Mus musculus: one gene and its partners. The protein of the gene in region 3 interacts with the protein of the main gene of each other region in a biochemical or structural test. Links are inferred from orthologs where the notes say so. Each region holds a gene or a part of one and is shown on either strand. Other genes may lie near its edges. The genes, in order: Crhr1, Ctnnb1, Magi3, Pten, Adrb2, Adrb1 and Rps6ka1.

Region 1 (4,300 bases), on a different chromosome or scaffold from region 3:
GAACTGAAGACTTCAGGACTTTGCTTCACTGAACTGTGCATGCACAATGGCTAAGCCAATGTGACCAGTGGGTTTAATCAATGATCCGCCCGACTCTGCACCCCTACCCCATCCGAGCCAAGACCGCCAGGGACACTGAGTTGGGAATTAGGAAGGAGGGTGCCAACTGTGGGGATTTGGACAATCCACGCTCCCCTGTGCCTCAGTTTCCTCACTAGTAAACTGTCACATGACCTACAGCAACTCCAGCTCCAAAATGACTATTGCCTGGGCCTCTAAGCTGTGGATCTTGTCCAGTGTGCTGAGAACACAATGTAAGGAAGGGGAGTTGCACAAAGTAGTGTCCAGAGTCGCCAAGCTCCGCTACATTTTAAAATAAGCTGGTTCCCCCACTAGGACCTTGCCTCTCTCTTTGTGCTTCTGTGTACTCAAGATGGAGACCCGGACCTGAGAGGTGAAGATGTTTCTACCCCGACACTCCTTTTCTCCTTCTCTATCTCTCGCTGGGGAAGGAAAGGGGGATGGGGGAAGGAAATCAAAAGAACAATCCACCTAACTGGCCTGAAGGTGGCGAGAGCTGGTTTTAAGGCTGGAAGTGGAATTAGAAAGCCAACCTAGACGAAGACCCGGAGGTCTGGCGGGACAGCCCGCTCCAGCCCCGAGAGCTTGGCCAAGAGGGGGCGCTGTGGCCCCCTCCACGCCCTTCGGGCTGGATTCCCAGCTGCGTCCACAGCGTTGCGGCGCAATGCGCGCCCTGCTTTCCCCTCCTTACAGACTAGGTGCCCAGTCCGCTGTCACCACTTATCTTGGGGCCTGGACCAAAAAGACAGACGTTCAGTTCCAAAAACGAATGAATGAATGAGTGAACGAACGAACGAAGGATTCAAAAAGGAAGGGTTCCCGCCGCAGAGCATCAGTGTCCCAGCACATCCTAGGTGTGTTTAGGCCAAAGGCGCGCGGATCGGGAGGGGGATTCGGGCCCGGCCTCCCCTCCCCACTAAATTGGGGGCGGAGGTGAACCTCCTGGATGGCTGCAGGGCGGGAACCACCCAAATGTAGTTCTCAGCTTCTTTTTCCACGCAGGCTGAGTTTTGTGGAAATCGCCCTATTCCCCAGCGCCTACTAGCCTTCTAAATCCCGCCCCCCGAGCCCCACAAGTACCCCGGGATCCCCCGGACTCTTTTGGTCCGGACATCCAGCCTCACAGGAGGCTAGAGAAGAAAGGCTGCCTGCTCTCCAGCAGCCGCCTCCCGGATCCCCGGTTTTTCCCTAGCTGCGGTGGCAGCCGCCGCCGCCTGTGCGCCCCGCGCACTGCCGCAAGCCGGGGTGCGGGGAGAGGGGGTTCAGCACGGCCAGGGTGCGGGGATCCGGGCCGGGGTTGGGCAGTGGACCGAGGAGACCGGAGCCTGCAGCCAGCGGAGGGGCGAGGAGCGGAGGAGGGACAGGAGGGGAGCGGAGGGAGAAAGAGGAGGGGACACGAGGCGAGGGGGCGGGGAGCAGAGGCGAGAGGCAGGCGGACCGTGGGGGAGGCGACCGGGCTAGGCGGGATCCAGGCAGGAGAGAGGTAGCTGTGGGCCCAGCTGAGTGGGGAGAAGGCGACCAGACTTGCTCGCGCAGGGCGAGCCAGAGCCTGCCGGTGGGGCGGGGCGGGAGGGTGCGAAGCCGGGCGCCTGGGAGCAGCTCAGCGACCCGGGAGACTGGCCGCCCAACGGAGACCGCAGCCGCCCGCTCTTCGCTCTGGGATGTCGGAGCGATCCTGGCATCCAGGACGCTGACAGAGCGAGCCCGAGGATGGGACAGCGCCCGCAGCTCCGGCTCGTGAAGGTAAGAGAGGACCGACCTCCGGGTAATCAGAGGCGCTCCGGGCCGAACGAGCGCGGGACAGGCGTGGGCAGGGGTGCCGGAGGAGAGGATCGGGGAACCCGGCGCCACCCGGGAGGTTGGGGTTCAACCTGACGTCCTCTACCTGGACCTCTAAAGCCGGGCTTCGGAGACAGAGGGACAACTCTGGTGGAAAAAGAATGGGTGATGGTGAAACCGCTGCGGCGCCAGAGGAGGAGGGGGTCCGCCCACTCGAAGAACCGGCTTTGCGCGAAGAATCGCTGCAATCTTTGGGGCCGAAGCGCCATCCCCCTTAAGGCTCTGGATGGGATCCTGTCCCTGCTGGACACCCTCCGAGCCGGCCCTGTCCCGGTCTCAGGCGCTCTTTCCTGCCGGTTTTCCTCCGTAGAAAGCTTCAGATTCCGGAGATAGATGCGGCCCGCGAGTCGCGGCCCTTCATCGACTTAGCATCTCTGAGAGGCGATGGTGCGCGCACCCCAGTGTCCGGCCGATCCTCCGGGGTGCCACAGCCCCCCGGAGCGCAACGCATTCTCTCACTGGGCTCGCTCCTGCCACCGGGCTGGAGAAGCGGAGTTTCAGAAAGTCTTCAGAAGGCGTTTACAGTGCCTACTGGCTAAAGTTGGGGGCGATCTGGGGCTGCGCGGGGGTGGACAGAGCCCGGGAAGAGCTAGGTGCTTCGCAGCCAGGCCCGCAGCCTAAGGACAGGCGCCACTTCGCCGGCGCGTCCCGGAGCGCGCGCGCTCACTGGGTACCAGCACCTCAGCCCTGGTGCTGGAGAAGGTGAGTGGGCCTGGCGCTGCCGCCCGGCAGCCCCAATTGCCATGCCTGGGTCTCCGGACCGCTCAGGGCTGACATGGACCTCCTGAACCACAAGCCGAAGCACCGGGTTAACTGTGGCCAGGAAAGGCGATTGCGTTCAAAAGATCTAAGTGGTTGGGAGGAGCAGTGCGAATTGACTGGCTTTGATTTTTCCGTCAGTTATTAAGCCGACTGCTTTTACTTGTTCGAAAAGCATTTGAGTTAAACCACCACGCGTTTAAAATGTCCCCCCTCTCCACATACTCAAAGGTTGTCTTCAAATCTAAGGGAGTCTCAGTGAACCTAAGGGCTGGAGCCAGAGATTATTTTTGGGGTGACCAAAGTCTTCTACAAAGAAGTTAGGGAGACTCTTGGAGGTTGTATAGATAAGCAGCAATGGAGGTCTTTTCCCAAGGATTCCTGTGTACTGAGCCTTGATCTAAATTCACAGGGGTTAAAAATGAAGCCTCTTAAGCAAATTCAAAAATTTGGGCTGTGGATATTTTTTTTTTCAAGTTTACATGGAAATCAATGAAGGTTCTTTCTGAGGCCATTCTTAGAACCGTGTGAAATGACCTGTTTGGCATGTTCACAGTTTCTTAAGATAAAAGGTACTTTTTTTTCCTCTTGTTCCTACTGGCTAGTGGGAGTTGGGGGACTTGTCTTACATGATACATTCAGCGTGTGCCCAGGAAATGGGGAGTGAGAGTCGGTGACTGTGATATTTGTGTGGTCTGTACACATTTCCCAGTGTTAGTCTCGTTGCTTTATAAATATTAAGTCATGTAGTCGTCATAATAGTCCAAGAAGTAAGAATTATATCCTAGGCATAGAGGATTGAGCCTACTTGTTCAGAAAGCGGCACCATGAGCTTGTCAGTCAGCAAGCCTGACCGTGCCCTTAGCGCCTGCACACAGATTTCAAACCCAGTACTCCAAGCCTAAGACTCTGTTTTGTTAAATTCAAACTTAAATCTCATGCTTAGTGCCTACCAGCTGAGAATCTGAGCGTTTCATCAGTTTGAACATATGAATCTAGGGAACTTGGAGATCGTGCAAAAACCAGCTCTTTCACTGATGATTGGCAGGCAAGCTATGCTTGGAAAAGGGTCACTCGGGGGCTATAGTGTGCATTTCTCATTGAACTTGTTATAGAACATTGTGGGAGAGTGCAAGAAAGATGAGGAGTGTGTGTGCATGGGTGTGGAGTGTGTGTGTGTGTGTGTGTGTGTGTGTGTGTGTGTGTGTGTGTGGTGTTTATGGATAAGTATAGAGAGGAGAGTTAGTCCCTCTTCTTATGACCCATCCACTAACTGCTCTTCCTAGGGACATATCTAATGCTCTGGTGATAGGTAATTCTGGATAGTGACTGTGTGGAGTGAACTAGGCCCCTGTGTCTTCTTAAAGGACAATGAGTGTCCAGTGACTTCCAGGGAGGCCAGTTTTATTGCTGCTGTTATTGTTTATAGCAATTTAGAAGCATTAGGCAAAGTCTAAAGCAGAGGAGAAAATGGCTGTGACTTCCCTCTTTACACGGTGCTGTGACAAGTTGAATAACGATCCCTGCAGGTCCCATGTTTAAGAACAGGTCTGGGCATTGCTGTGACCATCAGACAGCTCTCTCCCTTGCTGTGTCAGAGCCCCAGTCTTGTCCCATGCCA
Region 2 (3,500 bases), on a different chromosome or scaffold from region 3:
CCCCGAAGTGCTATGCAGCACTCCTTTTCTGGGACGGCCTCCTCAGTAGCTGTCATTGTTTTGTGCTGTCCACTCCTGTCGTAACATTCCTCTGTTCTATTCTGAGACAAGGCCTTGCTAATACCCAGGAAGTCCCAGACCTCGACTCTGCCCCTGCTTAAGGCTGGGGCTCCAGGCCTATGCACTGAGCTCAGCACCTGCCTTTGTGTGTTGTGCTCATCTTCACAAGACACAGTAGGAACCAGTTCCCCACTGCTCTACAGACGGATGCATGGTAATGGTATCAATTACACTGCTTCAAGTATATATATTCAAGATAAACACATCCATATCAGAATGACCTCGGGCATCCACACACATCCATTTCCAACTATCCCGGCTACCTATGGACTTTATCAATCTATAAACTTTACATTTAAACAAGCCACCATGTGTCTCTCTCAGGCCCATGGTTTCTGTTAGCAACTACCTCAGTAACCTGAAGTGTTCCCAACGGCCCAAAGATGGTTGGTTGCTACAACCCTGTGTCTCACCCTCAGCACCGTCCTCTACATGATGCCTTCATCATTTTCCGCTTCTACTTGGTTCTGAAGCCTAGGCAGATATTAGTTGCTTACTGAAAGGAAGCCTGGACATAAACCATGTATTTTCTCTTCTATCACTGGGGAGAACACCTTAACAACAAACCTCAAACCAAACGAAACCACTTCTCTGGTACTAAGCTGTTGTCTAGATTCACAGGGCTGCTAGTGAGGCCCAGCCTCACCTTTACCAGAATCAAAGTCAGAAACAAGCTTTATGGAGCAGGGTGTTTTTGTTGTCTCTGACAAAAAAATTTAAGTAACATGGGGCAAGCAAACAAGTACTGTGAGTGATCTCAGAATGTGTGTACTCACCAGCTTCTACAATGGCCGGCTTGTTGCTAGAGCAGACAGACAGCACCTTCAGCACTCTGCTTGTGGTCCACAGAAGCTTCTCATAAGTGTAGGTCCTCATTATGTTTACTAAGGCTTGGGGTCCACCACTGGCCAGAATGATGAGCTAGAGAGAGATGGAACTGTAAGTCATGAGGCTAGAGAACAGTGCCATTCATCACTGAGTTACCGGACATGTAAGAACTTTAGCCAGCTTGCAATTAAATGTATCTCTCTGGACCCTTCTGATCCACAGTCTCCAAGTGGGGTCCCAGGTATGTGACTCCTGTGCTACAATTCTGCTCAAATCCAGGCACACCACCTTTCTCAAGAATACACCACCTCGAGCTAGAGCGATGGCTCAGCTGTTAAAGAGTGCTGGCTACTCTTCCAGCAGACCCAGGTTCAAGTCTCAGCAGCAGCTCATAACTGTCTGCAAATCCAGTCCCAGTGGAACTAACACCCTCAGACATACAGACATACATGCAGGCGAAACAACAATGTATGAAAAAAAATCACTAAAAAATAAAACAAAACTCTGGCTACCTCTCCACAATAAACACAGAGGAAAACACCATGAAAAGCAAGCAGGGTTGCTTGTAGAAGTGATCAAAGTTCTGTCGAAACAGCCAGTTGAAAATGGGCACTAAGAGCCCCTAGCTTCTGACTCTGAGCTTCTATGTTACTTGCCTTAGGAGACACTGCAGAATATCCACTCCCTCACCCTTAAGGTCCTTGAACATTTCCATAGGCAGGTCTCACCCCATGCCTGTGTTTAAGATCTTATCTCCTGGACTTTGGTATGGCCAACAAAGAAAGCCTCACAGGATCCACCCGGCCCAGCCTTAGCCCAACTCTAACACTGTGTCTCCAGCACACCATCCCTCTTCCTCCTCGGGACTGTGGACGGCATCCTCTCACTGCCTCCTCCTAGGTAACACCTCACTTCTTCTCAAAGATTGCCACAAGACCTCAAAACACCATGTCCTCTGTCTATCCAGCCCCTCCTCTCTGCCCAAGTGTAAACTTATGAGGCCTGCTCCCCATCCCTTCAATGCTTAGCACCGTACTGTACACACAGATTCAATGTCTAAAGACACAAATCTTTGAGCCTGTGTGTGTGTGCGCGCGCGCGCGCACATGCATACTAAGAACTTAGTAACTCCACACTCTGTACAAACAACTTTCATCACTCTACCTTGCTCTCTTGATTGCCATAAGCTAAGATCTGAAGGCAGTCTGTTGTAATAGCCAAGAATTTCACGTTTGTTTTGTTGAGCAAAGCAACCATTTTCTGCAGTCCACCAGCTAGGCGCACTGCCATTTTAGCTCCTTCCTGATGGAGCAGGAGATTATGCAGTGTCGTGATGGCGTAGAACAGTACAGAATCCACTGGTGACCTGGGAAGAGGAGAGCCTTTGTTAGCCATGCCAGCACCCTTCTACTTCCTACCCTTCAAGTTCCCTGGCCATTCTCTTACCCAAGCATTTTCACCAGCGCTGGGATGCCACCAGACTTAAAGATGGCCAGCAAGCCCTCGCGGTGGTGAGAAAGGTTGTGCAGAGTCCCAGCAGTACAACGAGCTGTCTCTACATCATTTGTATTCTGCATGGTGCGTACAATGGCAGACACCATCTGAGGGGAGCGCATGATGGCATGTCTGGAAGCTTCCTTTTTGGAAAGCTGATGGACCATAACAGCAGCTTTATTAACTACCACCTAGAATAAAGGATGAAGAGGCACCATTAGTTTCCAAAACTTAGTGTGAGGCAGCCATTGGCATCCCCTTGAGAACTTCCCTCAAAGTAAACTGAAAAGCAAGTTACATCACTGCTTACCTGGTCCTCATCGTTTAGCAGTTTTGTCAGCTCAGGAATTGCACGTGTGGCAAGTTCCGCGTCATCCTGATAGTTAATCAAATTGACAACTGCATGTTTCAACATCTGTGATGGTTCAGCCAAGCGCTGGACATTAGTGGGATGAGCAGCGTCAAACTGCGTGGATGGGATCTGCATGCCCTCATCTAGCGTCTCAGGGAACATGGCAGCTCGGACCCTCTGAGCCCTAGTCATTGCATACTGCCCGTCAATATCTGAAAAAGGTAAATCCAACACTCACTAGGCATGTGGGACTCCGCTACCCTCCGCCCTTCCTTCAACCCACTTGTGCTGTGGCTGAGCTGTCACACAGCCCTGTCAAGAAACTTAATGCTAGCTTCCAAACACAAATGCTTTACCAGCTACTTGCTCTTGCGTGAAGGACTGGGAAAAGCCTTGCTCCCATTCATAAAGGACTTGGGAGGTGTCAACATCTTCTTCCTCAGGGTTGCCCTTGCCACTCAGGGAAGGAGCTGTGGTGGTGGCACCAGAATGGATTCCAGAATCCAAGTAAGACTGCTGCTGCCAGTGGCTGACAGCAGCTTTTCTGTCCGGCTCCATGGCCATGTCCAACTCCATCAGGTCAGCTGTAAAAACAGAGTATGTTAGTGAACTGAAAATGCTACCTGAAGAAGCCATCTACGACAATGACCCATTGAAATACTGTTAGAAAGGCAGCCAAGGAGAGCAGGTGAGGGTCAGTATGAGC
Region 3 (3,500 bases):
CCAGACGTTCAATAACTATTTGTTAAATGAACAAATGAATAAAATTCCTAGTTTATTTTCCTTGCAGAATATGTAATAAAGATGTAAAGGTATCCAATGTAGACGTCAATCTGGAAGTGAGTTACATCTGGGGAAAATAAAAAAGTAGCCCAGACAAAAGCCATACCAACTGTACCGGCTGGTTTTGTGTCAACTGGACACAGCTGGAGTTATCACAGAGAAAGGAGCTTCAGTTGGGGAAATGCCTCCATGAGATACAGCTGTAAGGCATTTGCTCCATTAGTCCCACCCCTTGTGGGTGGGACCATTTCTGGGCTGGTAGTCTTGATTCTATAAGAAAGCAAGCCAGTAAAGAACATCCCTCCATGGCCTCTGCATCAGCTCCTGCTTTCTGACCTGCTCGAGTTCCAGTCCTGACTTCCTTTGGTGATGAACAGCAATGTGGAGGTGTAAGCTGAATAAACCTTTTCCTCCCCAACTTGCTTTTTGGTCATGATGTTTGTGCAGGAATAGAAACCCTAAGACACCAACTAAATGATCTATATATACTATTTTCTTGATGTAATTCCAAATGACTAAACCTTTTAAAAAACAATTTTTGTCTTGACACCTAAATACACTGGCTAACTCATTTAACACTAAACATAAGTACTGAGAAGTTAAAACAATAGCCGGATCTCGCTATCTGTAGGGGGAAATAAACAATGATCATATAAGGCAATAGGTATATACAAGGGAAATTTTAATAAGTGATGAGGGAAATTGAAAATGTTTTGGGATCATATAGAGATAGGCTGCAAATCCAAAGACAGGATAAACATTTACTTCCTTCTATATGCCAGGTACTGTTCTTGGTGTAGTAGATACAGTGATGAAAACTTAACCTCCCCAAAATTCCAGTATTCAGAGAATTCACATACTAGTATTCCAAAGAAAATGGCTACAAAAATAACACTAATGTCCATCTTTTTAAGGTCTGGCTTCCCAGTCCTCTCTCAATTAAATGTAAGGACCTCCTGGACATTACAAATTTATTCAGGGACACTCAGAGTAGATTCTTCACCCTCACATTTTTATTTTAATTCAGTGAGAAATATGAAAGTTAAGCAAAAGATACAAAAAATATCAATTTTATTTGCAAATTATCTTTGAGTAGATCCAGAATTTAAATTAAAAATATTGCTAATGAACTTTTCAGATAATTTCTTCTGACATACCTCCAAAGTCTATGTGCTTTGGGTTGAAGGCTGTATTAAAAAACCAATTTTGTTTTAATCCTGGGAAGTAGAACTATGCCAGAAAGATTCCCGTATCCCAGCATTACAAGTATTTCAGATAAGGTGATGCCACATCATTAATGACAGCTTACTATTGCTAACTTATATTAGTTTACAAGATGACCCACAGAAATATACATTGTTCCACACAGCTTTCATAGAGAATTAGAATCCTAGCACCTGCTCTGCATATAGTTCAAGAAAATCTTTAGGATTTCAATTCAAGATTAAAGCCAATCTAAGACCAATCAGAAGTTGTTAATATGTTTACAAACCCATGCTTCCGCTGCCATTAACAGCTTCTTTGTCCTCATCTTCTTCTTCTTCAGGGAGAGAGCTGTCCATCCTTTCCATCTTGCTGACAGATGTGGTTCTTTTTCTTTGGGATTCTGTGTCAAACTCATTGTCAAAGAGGACCTGATCAACTGGATCGGGCTGGAAAGGACTAGGCTCTGCTGGAGGCTTGGGTGTGCCATAGAAATTTCCTGTGGTGTACAAAATGATGGCAGCTGAAAGTACGAATGCTGACCAAGCTTAAAGAATGCCTCTGTCACTGACTAAAAGGCCAAACAAAGCATTCTGTATGACTAATTTCTCATATCTTGTCATACGTTAGCTATCATACTAAAACTGCTCATATTTTAATTTTGTTTTATAAAGTTTCTGAATTAGGGCTGAATTTGGAAATATAAAAGCATTGATTCTCTTATGAAATAATGAAAGACACAAAAGGTATATAAAATGAAATAATTTTATTCTAATGTATAAAATGAATTATTTTACTAAAATGAGGATATATACAAAGGCTAAGAACTATTTCATATAGGAATATAAGCTGTTGTGTAATTTTAAAAAGCTTTCTGCACACTTGAATTATATTACCTGACAATTTATTGAAGAGCCATTATATATCAAGTTCTATACTAGTATACACTCAGAAAAGCAAGCGATAGTTTAATGTGTTTTTCTGAGGATCTTTGATTTTTCCAGTACCAGTACTTGGTCAAGGTAAGAATAAAAACAAATGAAATAACCTTCAGTTTGTTATGCAGCTTGTACTGAGCAGGCAGGCACCATGGGAAAGTGTTCAGGAGTCTAGCTGTCTCAACAATCACTGTTCCCACTCCTTTCGACTTTATATCAATTATTATGTTACTGTTATAAAAAGCTAAATCTAATTTAAGAATAAAACATTTTCACCTTTTATTATTGTGCTTATAAAATATCACACTTTTAATCAAACTGTTCAGTTCTAAAAGAGATAATTAAGATACAGATTGACATAATGGAAATTTTTAAAAAATTGGTCATTTTTCCCTAGATAGAAAAAAATCATGTTAGGCTACATAACACTAAGACAAATCTAGAAATAAATAGTATACTCTAAATCCACATGTTAGAAGGAGAAAACATTACAGTGAAATCTGTGTATGTTTGACTATAAGTACAATTATCAATATTCAAAAAGTCAAACTCAATTATTTCTTGGTTTTCAAACACATATTTGAAGGGGGTTGCCATATAGATGGGTACAGAGATTTGAATGAAAACAAAGTAGACTTTCTGTCAATTCTCTGACCTGCATATGAAGATGCAAGGGAAAAGCTAATTCATTATCTTCCGAGCAAAACACTTAATACTGTAAGCAGAGTTTGGCTGGGGGAAAAGATGTACCATAATCTCAATTTTTCCCCATTTTATCATATTGTATAGACAGAAACTCACTGTGTAGCCTTGGCTGTGTTGGAACTCACTTGTATACCCAGGCTATTCTCAAACCACAGAGATTTATCTGCCAGTGCCTCTTCTGGAATTAAAGACAGACAGTACCATACCCAGCTATTTTCCCGTTTTAAAGCTCAGTAGTCACACTATCAAGGATTTGGATCACCCAAAATAGAAACAAGTACATGTGTTTTAGGGAATGATAGTATCAACAGAACTACATTTTACTGTAAATTCTCAGTTAACTAAATGTAGAAAAATTAACATATACTTAAGGAAAAGTTAAGGGAAAATGCAGAGTACAAATTGCTATCTAGTCACAGATAGGTTTGGGGGTTTCCTAATAATTTTTTAAATAGTGCCCTTCTTTTAAAAAGGCCTTCCCAGGGCTGGGGAGATGGCTCAGCAGTTAAAAGCAATTGCTTCTCTTGCTCAAGACCCAGGTTCAATTCCTAGCACCCACATGGTAGCTTACTACCATTCATAAAATGTCTACAA
Region 4 (3,500 bases), on a different chromosome or scaffold from region 3:
ATATAGAGCTGTAAAGGCGGTATGGAGGCAATACGGAAAAGCTCTGCTCAGGAATCTCACTAGGTACTGACTTTTTGTCAGCTCTACTTTGCTTATTGATTAAACTGCTGTTGGGCTTTTAGTCGGACAACATTATGTTTGCATCTCTACGCTTAAAAAATATTGACTACTAAATTCTTTTTAATCTTTAAAAATTTCTAGTTACTTATTTATGTGCTGGGATTTAACACTATATGTTGAAGTTATATTAAAATAAAGCTCATGAGATTCATATGTATAAATTATAACTGCCATGTTCACAAAAGGTTTTGGAAACAATTTCATGAAGAAAGTCGGTCACTGGAGAACACATGCAGTTTGGATTGGCATTGAGTGTGAAGGAAATATTACAGGCAGTAGAAATAAGGTGACCGAAACACAGCAGAAGAACTGGACGAGAAATAGAAGATGTGATTGGCTGTCACAGGATCTTGAATGGGATGTAATAGACTTGGACTATTGGTGTCACGATAATTCTAGGAACTTCAGCTGTGTTTTAAGGACAGGCCCATGTTGTATAGACAGTTGTGATGTAGGAGGGGTAGTACAGCCAGCTCTGTGACTTGGCAGATGTTGCTAGAGCGATGGAATGTACTTTGTTTGGATTTTCTTTAGTTGTTCATACCCAGAGTGCATTTGAGATTTGGAGATATAAATATTATCACTTTGCTTTTAAGTTATTTTAAATCTGATGAGATCAAGGTACTTGTGAGGATCTGCAGTGGGGCTGCAGCTCTGTCTTGGTGGTGTAGTGTTTTTCTCAAGCTAGAGTGCAGGATTGCCTTCAGTCTCCAGCCCGAGGAGGAGGAGGCATGAGTGAAACAGACAGAACTAGTGATAAAAGGTTTAGTGTCTTCTGCAGAGGGACCAGGAAGTGTTTGCCAAGCGTTTGTCTTATTACCTTACTTTTTCTACGTGAAGAGAAGTTGCTGTATAATAAAAATGATCAGTTTGCTTTTGTGTCAGGATGCACTCTCATCCTTGTTTTTGTCAAGTCCAGATCCTGTCATTTCTTCAGAACATAGTTAATTAACATAGCATATATTTCAGATGTGCATCTCAGAAGTCAAGAGGACTGTACTAATATTAGAATATTGATGTTAGAACTTCCATCCCTCCTGCTGGGCGTGGTGGCACACACCTTTAATCCCAGCACTTGGGAGACAGAGGCAGGCGGATTTCTGAGTTCGAGGCCAGTCTGGTCTACAAAGTGAGTTCCAGGACAGCCAGAGCTATACAGAGAAATCCTGTCTCGAAAGACCACCAAAAACAAAAACAAAAAAGAAACAAACACACAAACAAAAAAAACAATTTCCAACTCAATGGGAAACTCATGGTCTATAGGAGGTCGTTTTGTCTCAGTGGTCTTAGAAAAAGCTGCTGTTTTTTCATTACTGTACACTACAGCTGGGGACATTGTCAAGGAAAGATGCCATGACAAGGCAATTCTTATAAAAGAGTTAATTGGGACTTGCTTACACTTTCAGAGGATTTGTCCATTATCAACCTATCAGGAAGCATGGTGGCACACAGGCAGATACGCTGAGAGTTCTACATCCAGAGGCTGGCAGCCTCTACCTCCTGAGTGCCAGCACTTTTAAAAGCACGGGCTACCATCACCCAGCTATACATGTTTTTTATTTTTTTAAACATATTATTTTTATTAATTCCTTGAGAATTTCAGATAAGCATTCAGTGTATCTTGATGTAACTCATTTCCTACTTCTCCCAACAGCCTTGTCTAGTTCCAGGACAGCCAGGGCTAACTAAACAAAGAAACTCTGTCTTAAAATGCCAAAACCAACAAACAAAAACTTGTGAACTGGAGGTCAAAAGAAAGATGATCAGTATTGTATATTTCTATATTATAAAGGCTTAGGTTTACATCGTTTATTAAAATATTCTTGTAAAGTTGCCTCTATGCAGTTCACAAAAGTCCCAGGAAATTGTTAAAGTTATTTTATGCTTAAAGTAGTTTGTGATGTGTCTTTTGCATGTTAATGTAAAGCTTTAATTGTTAATATGCTGCTAGAGTCTAGTCTTAGAACTTACTGTTTGTGAAGTAGCAATTGATTATCATATCTGTAATAGAACTTTACTTAAGGATTCAGATTGAAGAAGTCCTTACATGGGTTGGTTATGTTTTTACATATTTTATTTCTACTGATTTGTTTTAGATAAGCAGTCAATATGAAGAGTTATCATTTTGTGTATATTTCTGTTTATTTTATCATTAAAGTAGTTTTTGATAAGTTGAAGACATTTCTTGTGAAATGATCCTATATGTATTTAACCACACAGATCCTCAGTTTGTGGTCTGCCAGCTAAAGGTGAAGATATATTCCTCCAATTCAGGACCCACGCGGCGGGAGGACAAGTTCATGTACTTTGAGTTCCCTCAGCCATTGCCTGTGTGTGGTGATATCAAAGTAGAGTTCTTCCACAAACAGAACAAGATGCTCAAAAAGGTTTGCAATTCAGTTCTATTGTGTAGAAATAGCCATTCCTCAATGAGTAACCACAGACCTTTTGCTTAAAGCCTTTGGTTAGGAAATTATTCTGTAAGGAGAGACTATTTCTCTGCCATCTACCAAACTGATTACTCTTTTGTTAGATTGGCAGACTCTTCATTTCTGTGGCATTGATGAGACATGTAAGCAGACTCACCTGCCCCGACCCTTAGTTTGTTGGCTTTTTTGGTTTGTTCTATGTTCTTATGTTGCACAAGCCATGTTTTACCCATTTGGGTTTATGTTTCTTGAGAGTAGACTATTTTATATTTTGTTTCCCCAGGTTACTGAGTATTTAGTCAGTACTGAGTATTTAGTCAGTACTGAGTATTTAGTCAGTATTACTTAGTTGAAAGAAGTGGTTGTGAAGAAGTAATAGTAATTAAAAAAAAAAAAAAAAACATACCAAAAAACAAAAGGGTGGAAACAGCTAAGCATATCCTCTGTCCAGGGTTGCTGGGGCTTGAGATACACTTGGGAGGAGGAGAGAGCTCAGGTGCAGTGTCCTTGGTGTGAACATTTATCCTTGGTGGCTTTAGTACCCTTAGTTGAATGTGAACATTAAAATGAGTCTTAAGGTGTAGAAGTTTTAGCTGGATCAGAAGAAGATACCAGTTTTGTGCAGAATCAATTCCCGTGAAGCACATAGAGCAGTACATAGTCCGGAAGGGGGTTTTATAAAAAGCAGTAAAAGGAGAGCTTACTTACTATAAAACCTTGCAATGTCAGATCAATTTATCAGGAGAGATAATTTCTTTTTTCTAGGATCTACATAGCTAAAGAAGAAAAAAAATCACAAAGTTAACCAAATTAATGTTTTTATCATGGACCTCTCATGAAACAAAAAAGCTAAATATAAATATCTTTGAGTTACTGGTTTTTTTGTTTATTTTCTGAGACCACAATAAATGTGAGCAAACATTTCAAAAATTAGGTATTTGGAAGGCTTTA
Region 5 (4,267 bases), on a different chromosome or scaffold from region 3:
TTAGTCTTGTTCTGAATTTTTTTAATGGGAAGGAACAACTATCCTCAACTATCCTTTTTTTTCTGTAGTTTTAAAATGAACTCCACAAAACATGTTTTTAATATAGGGAATTATATGAAATTGTGGGGTGGGCAGCGAGGTTAAAGGCAGAAATAGCCCAATGGTGGCACATTCACTGACACAGCCTAAAAGATTAGCAAATTACCCAGCCAACACATACAATTAATACAATTAATATTTTTATAGTTAAAACAGAGTTACTAAAGAAATTGTTTGAAAAGAAAATTATGAAGACTGGAAAGACGGCTCAGTGCTTAAGAGCTTTGGCTAGTCTTCCAGAGAACCAGGGTTCAATTCCCAGCACTCACAAAGGCAGCTTGTGAGCTGATACTATCTGTATATTCAGTCCTAGGGAATCTGATGCTTTGTCCTGACCTCCAAAACAGGCACAAATGTGGTGCACAGACAAATGTAGAGATAAGACTCCCATGCACAGAACATAAATAATGTAGTTTAATTTTTTAAATTGTAAAACTGAAAATGGTTGCACTTGCATTTTTATTTTCAGCACATCCCCAGATATCCGCCATATAACAAGAAAATGATGCCACACTCCCAAGAATTAAGAATTACACCTTCCCAACCCTACCCAAATGTGTATACTTCTAGGTCTAAAGAAATGCGAAGGATGAAGTTACTGCCTTGGTGCGGTTCTCAAGGAGGGAGGATGCCAAAAAAATATTTTTTCACAAAGTGTGCTGAGAAACTCTGTAGCTGTTGGAGTCATCTCCTGTGCTCTTGCCAAATAACTGAAAGGGGATACACTGGATGTCTGTGAATGGGGTGTCACTTATGAGTGCTAGAAGCGGGTGGTACCTGGATGTGGACACCGGTGTCTGAGTGGTCCGCACTCCATGTCTCCACAGGAGCGCTTATGTGTGTTTCTTTCCTCCTGCTTCTGGGTGTTCCTGGGTTTGTTTACAGCCACCTCTCTGTTGGACCAGGAGACAGCTGTCATCTCCAGAATGAGCGGGCGCGGGTGTGTCTCCGTGGCTGTGGCTGTGGTTCGGCATAAGTCTGAGCATGTCCTGGTCGTCAGGGTGCGTTTGTGCCTGTGTGTGCGTGTCCGGGTGAGCTTGCTCTTTCTGTTCCTAAAAGAAAACGCACCCTGCGCTACTGGCGTCCAGAGACCTCTCAGCCCGCACAGGTGACCTGAACGGACAGGTAGCACCTCCAGACAGCGCCTGGTTGGCGGGTTGCACAGCAGCCCTAGATTTCTCTCTCTGGTGCCCCAGCTAGGGTAGCTGGAAGGGAGCGGTGGCCTGGCCTCCGGGGAGCCGCTGGGCCCCGCCCGGGCTAACCCCAGGAGGAGGCGGGCTAGGCTGGGAGGGTTGGCCCTTGGTGCCTCGCCCCTCCGGGCATCCGGCCGTGCCATTGGCCCAAAGTTGTTGCACGTCACTGGGCAATTCCCCTAAAGTCTGGTGCACATAACGGGCAGGGCGCACTGCAAGGCTGCTTCTCAGGCATTCAGGCTGCGGCTGCAGGCACCGCGAGCCCGGAGCACCCACGAGCTGAGTGTGCAGGACGCACCCCAGCACAGCCACCTACGGCCGCTGAATGAAGCTTCCAGGAGTCCGCCCCCGGCCGGCTGCGCCCCGTCGGAGGTGCACCCGCTGAGAGCGCCTGGGCACCGAAAGCCGGTGCGCTCACCTGCTAACCTGCCAGCCATGGGGCCACACGGGAACGACAGCGACTTCTTGCTGGCACCCAACGGAAGCCGAGCGCCAGACCACGACGTCACTCAGGAACGGGACGAAGCGTGGGTTGTGGGCATGGCCATCCTCATGTCGGTTATCGTCCTGGCCATCGTGTTTGGCAACGTGCTGGTCATCACAGCCATTGCCAAGTTCGAGCGACTACAAACCGTCACCAACTACTTCATAATCTCCTTGGCGTGTGCTGATCTAGTCATGGGCCTAGCGGTGGTGCCGTTTGGGGCCAGTCACATCCTTATGAAAATGTGGAATTTTGGCAACTTCTGGTGCGAGTTCTGGACTTCCATTGATGTGTTGTGCGTCACAGCCAGCATCGAGACCCTGTGCGTGATTGCAGTGGATCGCTATGTTGCTATCACATCGCCCTTCAAGTACCAGAGCCTGCTGACCAAGAATAAGGCCCGAGTGGTCATCCTGATGGTATGGATTGTATCTGGCCTTACCTCCTTTTTGCCTATCCAGATGCACTGGTACCGTGCCACCCACAAGAAAGCTATCGATTGTTACACCGAGGAGACTTGCTGTGACTTCTTCACGAACCAGGCCTACGCCATCGCGTCCTCGATTGTGTCTTTCTACGTGCCCCTGGTGGTGATGGTCTTTGTCTATTCCCGGGTCTTCCAGGTGGCCAAAAGGCAGCTGCAGAAGATAGACAAATCTGAAGGAAGATTCCACGCCCAAAACCTCAGCCAGGTGGAGCAGGATGGGCGGAGCGGCCACGGACTCCGAAGGTCCTCCAAGTTCTGCTTGAAAGAGCACAAAGCCCTCAAGACTTTAGGCATCATCATGGGCACATTCACCCTCTGCTGGCTGCCCTTCTTCATTGTCAATATCGTGCACGTTATCAGGGACAACCTCATCCCTAAGGAAGTTTACATCCTCCTTAACTGGTTGGGCTACGTCAACTCTGCCTTCAATCCTCTTATCTACTGTCGGAGTCCAGATTTCAGGATTGCCTTTCAAGAGCTTCTGTGCCTTCGCAGGTCTTCTTCGAAAACCTATGGGAACGGCTACTCTAGCAATAGCAACGGCAGAACGGACTACACAGGGGAGCCAAACACTTGTCAGCTGGGGCAGGAGAGAGAACAGGAACTGCTGTGTGAGGATCCCCCAGGCATGGAAGGCTTTGTGAACTGTCAAGGTACTGTGCCTAGCCTTAGCGTTGACTCCCAAGGAAGGAACTGTAGTACAAATGACTCGCCACTGTAATACAGGCTTTCTACTCTCTAAGACCCCTCCTTGACAGGACACTAACCAGACTATTTAACTTGAGTGTAATAACTTTAGAATAAAATTGTATAGAGATTTGCAGAAGGGGAGGCACATCCTTCTGCCTTTTTTTAAATTTTATTTTATTTTTTAAGCTGCAAACAAGAGAGAGAAACTGTATTTGAGTGCTTATTGTTTTCTTGTATAGTTCAGTTCCTCTTTGTATGGAACTTAAAGGTTTCTGTCTGAAGAGTGTTGGTTCTGGAGGACTGAGTCTGTCTGTCTGTCTGTCTGGATGATGTTTTCATGTATCTACCTCACTGGTCAAGTATTAAGAATGATATATATTGCTGCTGGAAATCCATATCTAAAGGAGAGAGTTTTCTTCCTGTACCCTTGGACTTGAAATATCCTGTGTCTTGGACCTTTCTGCTGTGACAATGGGCCCTTTCTCTCTCACTCCACTTATTTACTCAAATGGAGTGTTGCAGGCAGGGATTTGAGGGACAACATCAGTTGTTTTGTTTTTGTTTTTGTTTTTGTTTTTTTGTTTGTTTGGTTCGTTTTTGGTTTGTTGTTGTTTTTTGGGGTTTTGTTTTTGTTTTTGTTTTTTTGGGTTTTTTTTTTTTTTTTGCTGAGAAAAGTCTAAAGTTTACAGTAAATAAATTGTTTAACCATGACTTCATTGCACCCGTTTCTTCAAAACCTCTTGACTCTGGAGTGTCCTTGTCTCTCCCACTGGAAACCACAGGTAAACTATGTGTCGTGACCGATGAGTGGCTTAATGTGTAAGAGTACCAGAATGGCATGCACCGTGCCTAGCCCTTCCGTGTGTGTCTTCGGAGCTCCAGATGCAAACCTGTGCCTTCCCTAACTTCACTCGTGTCCCAAAGCAGTCCTGCCTGTTCACAGCATAACCCAGTATGTCCTACAGTTGCTCTTCTGTGCTGTCACTCCAGAAACCCTGACTCACGGAAACAGAGTTATGGGCATATGTTTTTGTCCCCATATGCTCCTGACACCCACCTTCCAGCCTTACTTGCTTAATAACTGTGTATATTTACATCACTGCCGTCTCTTACAGTAGTGCCCTTTGTACTGCATCAGGGCTTGGTGTGTTCAGGATGAGGAAGATGTTCTGTGTAATAGCTGTTCAAGCATCTAGAAATTCTGAGGGAAATCAAAGGCCTCGGTCAGAGAGAGAGAGAGAGCAAAGCTTTAAAAAACATAGCTGGTGAATGCTTCACGCCCTTCAGCCTCTCCTCGCTCCCGTCTGCTGTCCC
Region 6 (4,293 bases), on a different chromosome or scaffold from region 3:
AAAAGTAACTTCCCAATAAACCATCAACTCAATAACATAATAGACAAGAGAAACTGAGTTTGAATTTTATTTTAGCTTTTTAAAGATCTGCCCACCTCCCCATCCCAGTAAAAATATTTAATTTTTTTTGTGCAAGTTAACAACTTCTATGAATTTTACAATGCCTAACACTGTGCAAAATGGCCTTCCAACCACTGCCTTTTTTTTTTTTTTTTGCCGTCTTTGTTTTTAGCCACATGTGCAATAATCTCAACTGTTTCCTTTTTGTTCTGTCCTATCTTTAGTTGACAGAGTCACATGTCACAGAGAGAGACTCAGCGCCTGGTCCTTCCAACTAGTATTGATACATAAATAAGCTGTTTAATATAAACAAGTCTTTCTATCTTGCTGTGCAATATGCACAGAGTGAGGTAGAGGACCCACAGCAGGACCACCGAGGCGCGCAGGGCACAAGGTTTGCCCTCTAGGAGAAAGCAAGGTGAACCGTGCTCCACACATAGTTTCTCGAAACCAGATTTGTCTGTTTCGCATCCTTCTTTTCCCTTTGCTTTAAGAACAGGAGACACCAGTACTCCGGAATTAGTATGCAATTTCTTTAGAAAGCAAAGGGAAACACTTCCTGGCTAATTATCACCGGCCCCGCCCCCACACCAAACCTGAGCTGAATACTTAGGTTCCTAGGTGTGGAACCGGAAAGCCAGGTGATAGACTCCATCCTGCCCCCTCCCCTCCCCGCCTAGTTTCCACTCGGGTCCTTGCAGAAAGTGTCAAAACCCACCTAGGGGCGGGGGGGGGGGGGAATGCCTGAAGGTGCATTAAACACACGAAAGGCCGAACCTCAGAGAGAAAGGAACTCAAGACAAGCCAGTAAGCCATACTAAGCCACACTCTCCCAACTCCTCCTAAACTTTCCTTTTTGCGCAAACGCTCGGTCCGGGGCTTTTCTGTACGTCTCGGATGATTCGATAGATCTGTGGGCTTTGCATTCACCTGCTTTCGGTCTTGAGTAAACAGAGATCTCCTCTCTCCCCTGGGGAGCGGCTCAGGGGCGCCCAGGCGGGCTCTCTTCCTCTAGGGATGCAGAGCCCGTGTCCAGCCCGGGACTATGGGGAGCGGCGTCCGTGCGCCCAGAGAGCCTGGCTCTCTACACCTTGGACTCCGAGGAGAAGCCCTGGCGCCCCGGCTCGTCCAGGCTCGAATCGCTGTCCACAGTGGTTGTCCCGCCGTTGCAGCCGGTCCAGGGCTCCAGCAGGCGCGCCGGTGGGGTGGTCCCGGCGTCGTCGTCGTCGTCGTCCGAGGGAGCTCCGGGGGACGGCGGCGGCCCAGCTCTCGCCAGGCAGCCGGAGGCGCGCGGCCGGTCCCCGTGGGCTGCGCGGCGTCTGCAGGCGGCCCGGCGCGCGCAGCAGAGCAGGCGCTGGAAAGCCTTGCGGAAGTCGGGGCTGCGGCAGTAGATGATGGGGTTGAAGGCCGAGTTGGCGTAGCCCAGCCAGTTGAAGAAGACGAAGAGGCGATCCGGCACCAGGTCGCGGTGGAAAGCCTTCACCACGTTGGCCAGGAAGAAGGGCAGCCAGCAGAGCGTGAACACACCCATGATGATGCCCAGTGTCTTGAGCGCCTTCTGCTCGCGCAGAGCCACGAGGCGCGACGGCCGCCGCTTGCTGGAGCGCCCGTTGGCCAGCGAGTCTGCGGGGCGCGGTGGCCCAGGTGACGGCGAGGGCTCAGGCGAGGGCGGCCGGGCTGGGCCGCCGAGGAAGCGGCGCTCGCAGCTGTCGATCTTCTTTACCTGTTTTTGGGCCTCGCGGAACACCCGCAGGTACACGAAGGCCATGATGCACAGGGGCACGTAGAAGGAGACGACGGACGAGGCGATGGCGTAGGCCCTGTTGGTGACGAAATCGCAGCACTTGGGGTCGTTGTAGCAGCGGCGCGCTTCGTCGCTCTCGGCCCGCCACCAGTGCATGAGGATGGGCAGGAAGGACACCAACGCCGAGATGGCCCACACTGTGCACACGAGGGCCCGCGCTCGCGCGCGCGTCAGCAAACTCTGGTAGCGAAAGGGCGACGTGATGGCGAGGTAGCGGTCCAGGGCGATGACACACAGGGTCTCAATGCTGGCCGTCACACACAGCACATCTACCGAAGTCCAGAGCTCGCAGAAGAAGGAGCCGTACTCCCAGCGGCCCCACACCACGATGGTGGCCCCGAAAGGCACCACCAGCAATCCCATGACCAGATCAGCGCTGGCCAGGGACATGATGAAGAGGTTGGTGAGCGTCTGCAGCCGCGGGGTCTTGGCGATGGCCACGATCACCAGCACGTTACCCACCACGATGAGCAGAACGATGAGCGCCAGCAGTAGGCCCATACCCGCGGTCCACTGCTGCGACAGCGGCGCTGAGCCCTCGCTGGCTGGAGGCAGCAGCGAGGCGGGAGGCGACGCGAGCACCAGCAGCCGCGCCGCGGTGGCCGCACCGTCGGGCAGCGGCGCGGCGGACGACAGGTTGCAGGGTTCGGAGGCGCCCAGGGCGAGCGCCCCCGCGCCCATGCCGAGCTGCGGAGGCCGGGGGCGGGGGGTGTGGCGGGGCTGGGCCGCGCCTGGGGAGCACCCCAGGAGCCGGGGCTGCGGGGCCCGCGCGGGGAGGTCGCGGCCAGGTCAGGGCAGCCGCGGCTCGGGGCCGGAGGCATGGACGCCGGGCGCCTTCTCCTCCGTAGCCGAGCGCTGTCTCCGCCGCCGCCGCCGCCGCTGCTGCTGGAGCCGCTGTCGCTGCTGGAAGAGCCGCCGGGACCTCAGCATGTTTCTGAGCGCGCGGGGCCGGCGGCTCCAACACCCAGCACCTCCCCCCCCCCCTTCGCTGCCACCCCCCCAGCCAGCCCCCGGGGCCGCGCGTCAGGCTCCCGCAGCCAATCGCCGCCAAGGCACGCCCCCGACAATGGTGCCCCCACCCCCAACACCCAGCACCCCCTCCTACCCGCGATTGAAAGGCTCCAAAGATTGCGGGCGGACTACGCAGCCAGCACCCACGGGCTGCAGCGAGCGCGCCCTTTCCTGCTCAGGCTTCTTCCAGAGTCTAGTCTGCGGCGCCCCCTGCGGCGCCCCGCCGCCTCCTGTGCCCCCCGCCAACCAGTAGTCTCCGTTAACCTTAGCACCCAGCTCTCCTTTTGCCGCTCCCGCAAGAGCGCCCTTATTTCCCTTCGGCACCCCGTAGTTCCCTCGCCTCTAGTGCCCGGTTCCTGGTAGCTATAAGAGAACCTTACAGGCGTCTCGGAGACGCAGGAGTGCCTTGGACAGCCTATCTGCTGGGATTGGAGGAATTTAGCTGTGAGACTGGGGTTCTGCCATCAGGCAGCCTGGCTCTTCCCTGATCGCGAGGGGACCTGGCCAGCATGACAGCTTGGGGGAATAGGAAGTGGGTGTTAGTGATTAGAGGAAACTTTGCAGCCAGGCGGGTTGCTGGAGCAGGGTACGCATCTGTCAGAAAGGCTCTCTGGGCGCTGTTCTCGCGCGGAGCTGTGCTCTCTCCTTCAAGTGCAGTAGATGGGGAAAGGAAGGGAAGGTTTGTGGATGTAACTGCCAACACCGAGGACCAGTCGGATACACACACAGGCCCCAGTCCCAGCTAAAGAAAAGGATGAAAGAGTTCTGAATATAAAGGAGAAGTTTAGGGCAACATTCAGTCCAGGGTAAATGACGTCGCCCCACCCCCACGCCCCTCGTGGAAAGAACACGGAGAATGACGCTTCAGACTTTTTGACTCCAGTACCAACACCTTAACATCCGCATCTGTGCTCCGTTACCCATGGGATTTTGCAATCTGAGCTGAGCCAACACAAGGTGCTATCCCTTTTGGGTTGACGTCATGAACTGGGATTTCAGATTTCTTGGGAGGGTGGCTAGATTCTCAAAACTGTGGGATTAGCTTTGGGAAGATGAGGGAAGAAAATATATACATACTCAAGGCGATTAAATCTGAAAGCATTTAAAGTCATACCACATTTCCTCGCTTCACATTGTCGAGAGAATCCGAAACTAGAGTCTTTGGCTTCATTCCTGATGCGAACAGAGGATGGGACCTCGGGCTGAGGTCCTCTGATCTACCCCTGGGAATGCCTCTACCTCAGGCCGTAAAAAGGAAATCTGTAATTAAGTTCTTGAGAAGCGAACAGTTCCCAATTGTCTCAGAAGGGAAGGGTGCACGGTAGTGTTATATAATGTTATGTAATGCTCCCGAGTCCTTCTTGCATTGGAATAAAAAGATTAGCATCTGGGAGGAACATCAACATGTGGCCAAGCTG
Region 7 (3,500 bases), on a different chromosome or scaffold from region 3:
TGCTAGCAGCCCCGACAGGAAGAGTAGAAGCTATGCTGCTCAGTGGATAACAGCAAGGGAGAGCAGCCTTCAAGGGCGTGAAGTCACCCCTCCAAGGGCATGTTAAGGGCTGCTCACCTTCTACCTCCCACAGCTGAGGCCACGGTTGGCAGGGGCCCCTCCCCCACCCTTCCTGCGTCCATCACAGGGCACAGGCACGGGCACTCACATTCCAGTCAATGGTGGAGTAGAAGATATGTCTCTTAATTTCCTCTGCCCCATCAGGGCCCGAGCCTGAAAGAAGCCAAATGAAGCCAACCTCAGACACCCATTCTGTCTTCCAGGCTCTGGACCAGCTGCTACCGTGGAGGGCAGCAGGGGTTCACCATGTCCTGCGTCAGTACCCACTACCCTGAAGCCTGGAGCCCGCTCAGTATTTCCTATGTTACGGAGCTTCTGCTGGTGTACTGAGGAAGGAGGGGCCAGGCAGGACGGGAAGCCTGTCCAAGCATTAATCCTGACAGAAGCTGGACTGACTTCTTTTGAGATCTAACAAGGGCCTTCATCCACTCCCGCCACAGGCCCCCCTCCTCTCTGCCCTTCTTTTCCTACTGCCTCTCGTCTTTATCCCTGAGACAAACGCTCATTCGATTCAACCCAGGGACCTGGACTGGACCTTAGCTGGTTGTGATCCAGATAAAGCCAGCATCCAAAAACCTCGGCAAATACTGTATACTTCACTGAACAACAGGAATGTCCTTCTCTCATCAAAGATCCCCGGGAGCCAGGGCAGAATCAGTGTCTCCACTGACACAGGAACCTGGGGCTCGGAAAGGTGGGGTCCCCTGCCATAGCGCAGGCTCATAAACCGTATTCAATCCCTCAGCAAATGTTTACAGTACTGCTGGGTGCCGGGCAGCGGGGACAGACACAGCTAGGCCTGAGACCTTTCTCGCTCCTAAGCTCCTGCGCCTTCCCTTGAGCCAGCAACCTTGGCAGAGAAGCTGTGTGGGGGCCTGTGTCCTTGTCCCTGAGGGGGTATGAATGACTCAGTTCCTGCCTTCCCCCCACACAGGTCACCCTCCCAGCACCATACATGGAACCAGAAAATAGGGTGGCCAGCAGCATTGTCTGCTCACACAAAGGACAACAGCTCCTTTCAGTCCTAGATGTGGCCCCGTGGCCTAGGCTGCAGCTGTACCCTGATCCTCACCGCCATGTCCCCTCCTCTGAGCTGGGGTTGCTTACCAAGCCGATTGGCAGGATTCCTCTTGAACAGGGCCCGCAGGAGGCTCTGGGCTTCCGTGCTCAGAAACTGGGGCATGCCTAGCTTCGCCCTGGAACAGCCACAGGTCTCATCAGGGCTGAGCCCCACCCAGGAGTCCCAGAGCCCCTTCCCTTTCTCTTTTCCAGCTCAGTCCAGAGAAGCCAGCCACTAACTCACCTCCCAGAGACATTAAGAACACTTCCCACTGGCCCTGGCAGACAGCAAGGGTCTGCAGACAGGGAAAAAGCAATTCACTGGCCCTGCAACTGGGGTGGGATTAGGGAGAACTTGGAGGGCCAGGCAGTGTTGGTGCTTACTTCAAAATCAAGGTCATGGTCTCCTTCCGGTCCTTCCCCTGGAAGGGCAGGGAGCCCGTCAGCATCTCAAACTTCGGGGGGAAAAGGAAACATATAGGTGTGGCCTTGTTCTCTGTCTCCCACACATCCCTCCCCCTCCTTCCCGGGCTACCCTGCTGCAGTCCGGGGATTCTTGCTGGCCTGTTAAGACTTTACAGTCTAAGTCTAGCTGCAGCAAGGCCTGTGCCTGCCTCTGCCCCCCTCCCAACCTAGAACCCAGGAGCAGCACTAAAGCCAGAGGAAGGAAGCAGAGGAGAGTTCCCAAGTTAGGTGAGGGGTGGTACTTCAGGCAGGTGGACTAAAGCCCGCGGCTCTTCGAGGGAAACAAAGTACAACAGTGTGCAGCAGAGCCCGGACACTCACCATCAGCACCCCATAGGACCACCAGTCTGCACTGTGGGTGTGACCCTGGCGGTTGACAACCTCGGGCGCCATGTACTCCACTGTCCCGCAGAAGGAGTAAGCCTTCTTCTCATGGTCTATGGCCTCCTTGCTCAGGCCAAAGTCTGCAGCATGGAGGGCAGAGAAGTCACTTCTAGGATCCCTGCCACGCCCACGGCTACCACACTTAGCTCCTCTGACCGGAGCCAGGTATCACCAAGGTTGTCAGTGAGAGCTCAGTCTGCTCTGAGACCTAGGGAGCCTCGAGAGATGGCTCAGCAGTTAAGAATATTGGCTGTTCTTCCAGACAACCCAGGTTCCATTCCCAGCTCCCACACGATGGTTAACAACCAGGTGCAGGCAACTCTAGCCTCTTTGGGCAACACATGCATGAGGTACAGATACAAATATAGGCAAAACTCCCATACACACACAAAAAATAACTAAGTAACAAGGCCTAGGTTTTTGGCATGTATGTAACTGGCATCGTCTCCCAGGAAACACAGCCATCAGCTGAGACCTATCAGACAGAGCCTGGTTATCCTCCCCAGAGCCCAAAGGAGCAGGTGCCCTTCACTCACCAGTGAGTTTGATGTGGCCCTCCTCATCCAAAAGGATACTGTAACAGAGAGACAGGAGTCAGGAATCCTTAGCTGCAGGCACTGTGCAGGTTCTAGCAGTAACCTTGGGGTGGAGAGACTTGGGCCTGACCAGAAGAAGGGTTTGGTCCAACTCTACTCAAGGAAAAGTGGAAGGATGGAAGCTCGGGAAAGTAACTCCTTTAGAATGGCTAGGGAACTTGTCTTTCTTTCAATTCTACTACATTGTACAGGCTGGCTTCGAACTCCTGGACTCGGCCTCTTTAGCAGCTGGTACTACAGTTGAGTACCGCAATGCCTGACTTGGGGTGTGTCTAACTCTACCACCAGAATCTATCCCAGCTCTCAACACAGCACCGGAAGGCAGTGCATGCGAAACCCCCAGGATAAGCGGATGGAGAGATGATCTTTAGAGCTGGGTGATAGTAACGCAGGCCTTTATTCCCAGCACTTGGGATTAAAGCACTTGTCTCGAAAAACCAAAAGGAAGGGGAATGGAGTAGGGCCACAGCTGGGCTGCAGCCTTTAGTAATAGCAGTACCGACCAGGCAATTCCTAATTACCTAAAGTGAACCTGCTGTTGGCCACAACCTGCGACAACCACCCATCCCTCTTGACAGCCCCAAAGAGAGATAAATTCCTGGGAGCGCCACAGCATCTCCCAAATGGCCCTGTTCTAAAAGGGCCCAAGAGCAGTCCCTGTGCCCAGGAGAGATCAGCAGTATGGCAGGGGCTTTGCTCACTTCTCAGGCTTGAGGTCTCTGTAAATAATGCCCAAGCTGTGCAGGTGGTCCAGGCCCAGTGCCAGCTCAGCCAGGTAAAACTTCACATCCTCCTCTGTAAACATGACCTGCAACAGGGAAAGACACACCCGTCAGCTGGCTTACCCCGTTCCCCAGGAGCTGGCCTACTGAGCAG

The links.
Region 1: the proteins of Magi3 (region 3) and Crhr1 form a complex in vitro, tested with the Homo sapiens proteins (2 studies listed by BioGRID and IntAct, with this or other methods). The link is inferred for Mus musculus from reciprocal best matches to the Homo sapiens genes MAGI3 and CRHR1.
Region 2: the proteins of Magi3 (region 3) and Ctnnb1 form a complex in vitro, tested with the Homo sapiens proteins (2 studies listed by BioGRID and IntAct, with this or other methods). The link is inferred for Mus musculus from reciprocal best matches to the Homo sapiens genes MAGI3 and CTNNB1.
Region 4: the proteins of Magi3 (region 3) and Pten form a complex in vitro, tested with the Homo sapiens proteins (2 studies listed by BioGRID and IntAct, with this or other methods). The link is inferred for Mus musculus from reciprocal best matches to the Homo sapiens genes MAGI3 and PTEN.
Region 5: the proteins of Magi3 (region 3) and Adrb2 form a complex in vitro, tested with the Homo sapiens proteins (2 studies listed by IntAct, with this or other methods). The link is inferred for Mus musculus from reciprocal best matches to the Homo sapiens genes MAGI3 and ADRB2.
Region 6: the proteins of Magi3 (region 3) and Adrb1 interact in a test that uses a peptide from one of them, tested with the Homo sapiens proteins (2 studies listed by IntAct, with this or other methods). The link is inferred for Mus musculus from reciprocal best matches to the Homo sapiens genes MAGI3 and ADRB1.
Region 7: the proteins of Magi3 (region 3) and Rps6ka1 interact in a test that uses a peptide from one of them, tested with the Homo sapiens proteins (2 studies listed by BioGRID and IntAct). The link is inferred for Mus musculus from reciprocal best matches to the Homo sapiens genes MAGI3 and RPS6KA1.

Annotation. Positions count from the first base shown.
Region 1 is NC_000077.6:104,131,281-104,135,580, forward strand, and holds the start of Crhr1 (corticotropin-releasing factor receptor 1 isoform 1 precursor), read left to right. Parts: upstream 1-1,500; 5' UTR 1,501-1,791; coding exon 1,792-1,824; intron 1,825-4,300.
Region 2 is NC_000075.6:120,950,400-120,953,899, reverse strand, and holds part of Ctnnb1 (catenin beta-1), read right to left. Parts: intron 3,379-3,500; coding exon 3,151-3,378; intron 3,007-3,150; coding exon 2,753-3,006; intron 2,634-2,752; coding exon 2,395-2,633; intron 2,315-2,394; coding exon 2,113-2,314; intron 1,042-2,112; coding exon 897-1,041; intron 1-896. UniProt on the Homo sapiens protein: Key downstream component of the canonical Wnt signaling pathway.
Region 3 is NC_000069.6:104,087,907-104,091,406, forward strand, and holds part of Magi3 (membrane-associated guanylate kinase, WW and PDZ domain-containing protein 3), read right to left. Parts: intron 1,763-3,500; coding exon 1,553-1,762; intron 1-1,552.
Region 4 is NC_000085.6:32,813,077-32,816,576, forward strand, and holds part of Pten (phosphatidylinositol 3,4,5-trisphosphate 3-phosphatase and dual-specificity protein phosphatase PTEN), read left to right. Parts: intron 1-2,340; coding exon 2,341-2,507; intron 2,508-3,500. UniProt on the Homo sapiens protein: Dual-specificity protein phosphatase, dephosphorylating tyrosine-, serine- and threonine-phosphorylated proteins.
Region 5 is NC_000084.6:62,177,213-62,181,479, reverse strand, and holds Adrb2 (beta-2 adrenergic receptor), read left to right. Parts: upstream 1-1,498; 5' UTR 1,499-1,727; coding exon 1,728-2,984; 3' UTR 2,985-3,767; downstream 3,768-4,267. Other genes in the region: Gm9949 (uncharacterized protein LOC225609), read right to left, coding at 877-1,435. UniProt on the Homo sapiens protein: Beta-adrenergic receptors mediate the catecholamine-induced activation of adenylate cyclase through the action of G proteins. The beta-2-adrenergic receptor binds epinephrine with an approximately 30-fold greater affinity than it does norepinephrine.
Region 6 is NC_000085.6:56,720,624-56,724,916, reverse strand, and holds the start of Adrb1 (beta-1 adrenergic receptor), read right to left. Parts: upstream 2,801-4,293; 5' UTR 2,546-2,800; coding exon 1,145-2,545; 3' UTR 1-1,144. UniProt on the Homo sapiens protein: Beta-adrenergic receptors mediate the catecholamine-induced activation of adenylate cyclase through the action of G proteins. This receptor binds epinephrine and norepinephrine with approximately equal affinity.
Region 7 is NC_000070.6:133,863,798-133,867,297, forward strand, and holds part of Rps6ka1 (ribosomal protein S6 kinase alpha-1), read right to left. Parts: intron 3,433-3,500; coding exon 3,326-3,432; intron 2,603-3,325; coding exon 2,565-2,602; intron 2,109-2,564; coding exon 1,966-2,108; intron 1,635-1,965; coding exon 1,564-1,634; intron 1,317-1,563; coding exon 1,228-1,316; intron 274-1,227; coding exon 209-273; intron 1-208. UniProt on the Homo sapiens protein: Serine/threonine-protein kinase that acts downstream of ERK (MAPK1/ERK2 and MAPK3/ERK1) signaling and mediates mitogenic and stress-induced activation of the transcription factors CREB1, ETV1/ER81 and NR4A1/NUR77, regulates translation through RPS6 and EIF4B phosphorylation, and mediates cellular proliferation, survival, and differentiation by modulating mTOR signaling and repressing pro-apoptotic function of BAD and DAPK1.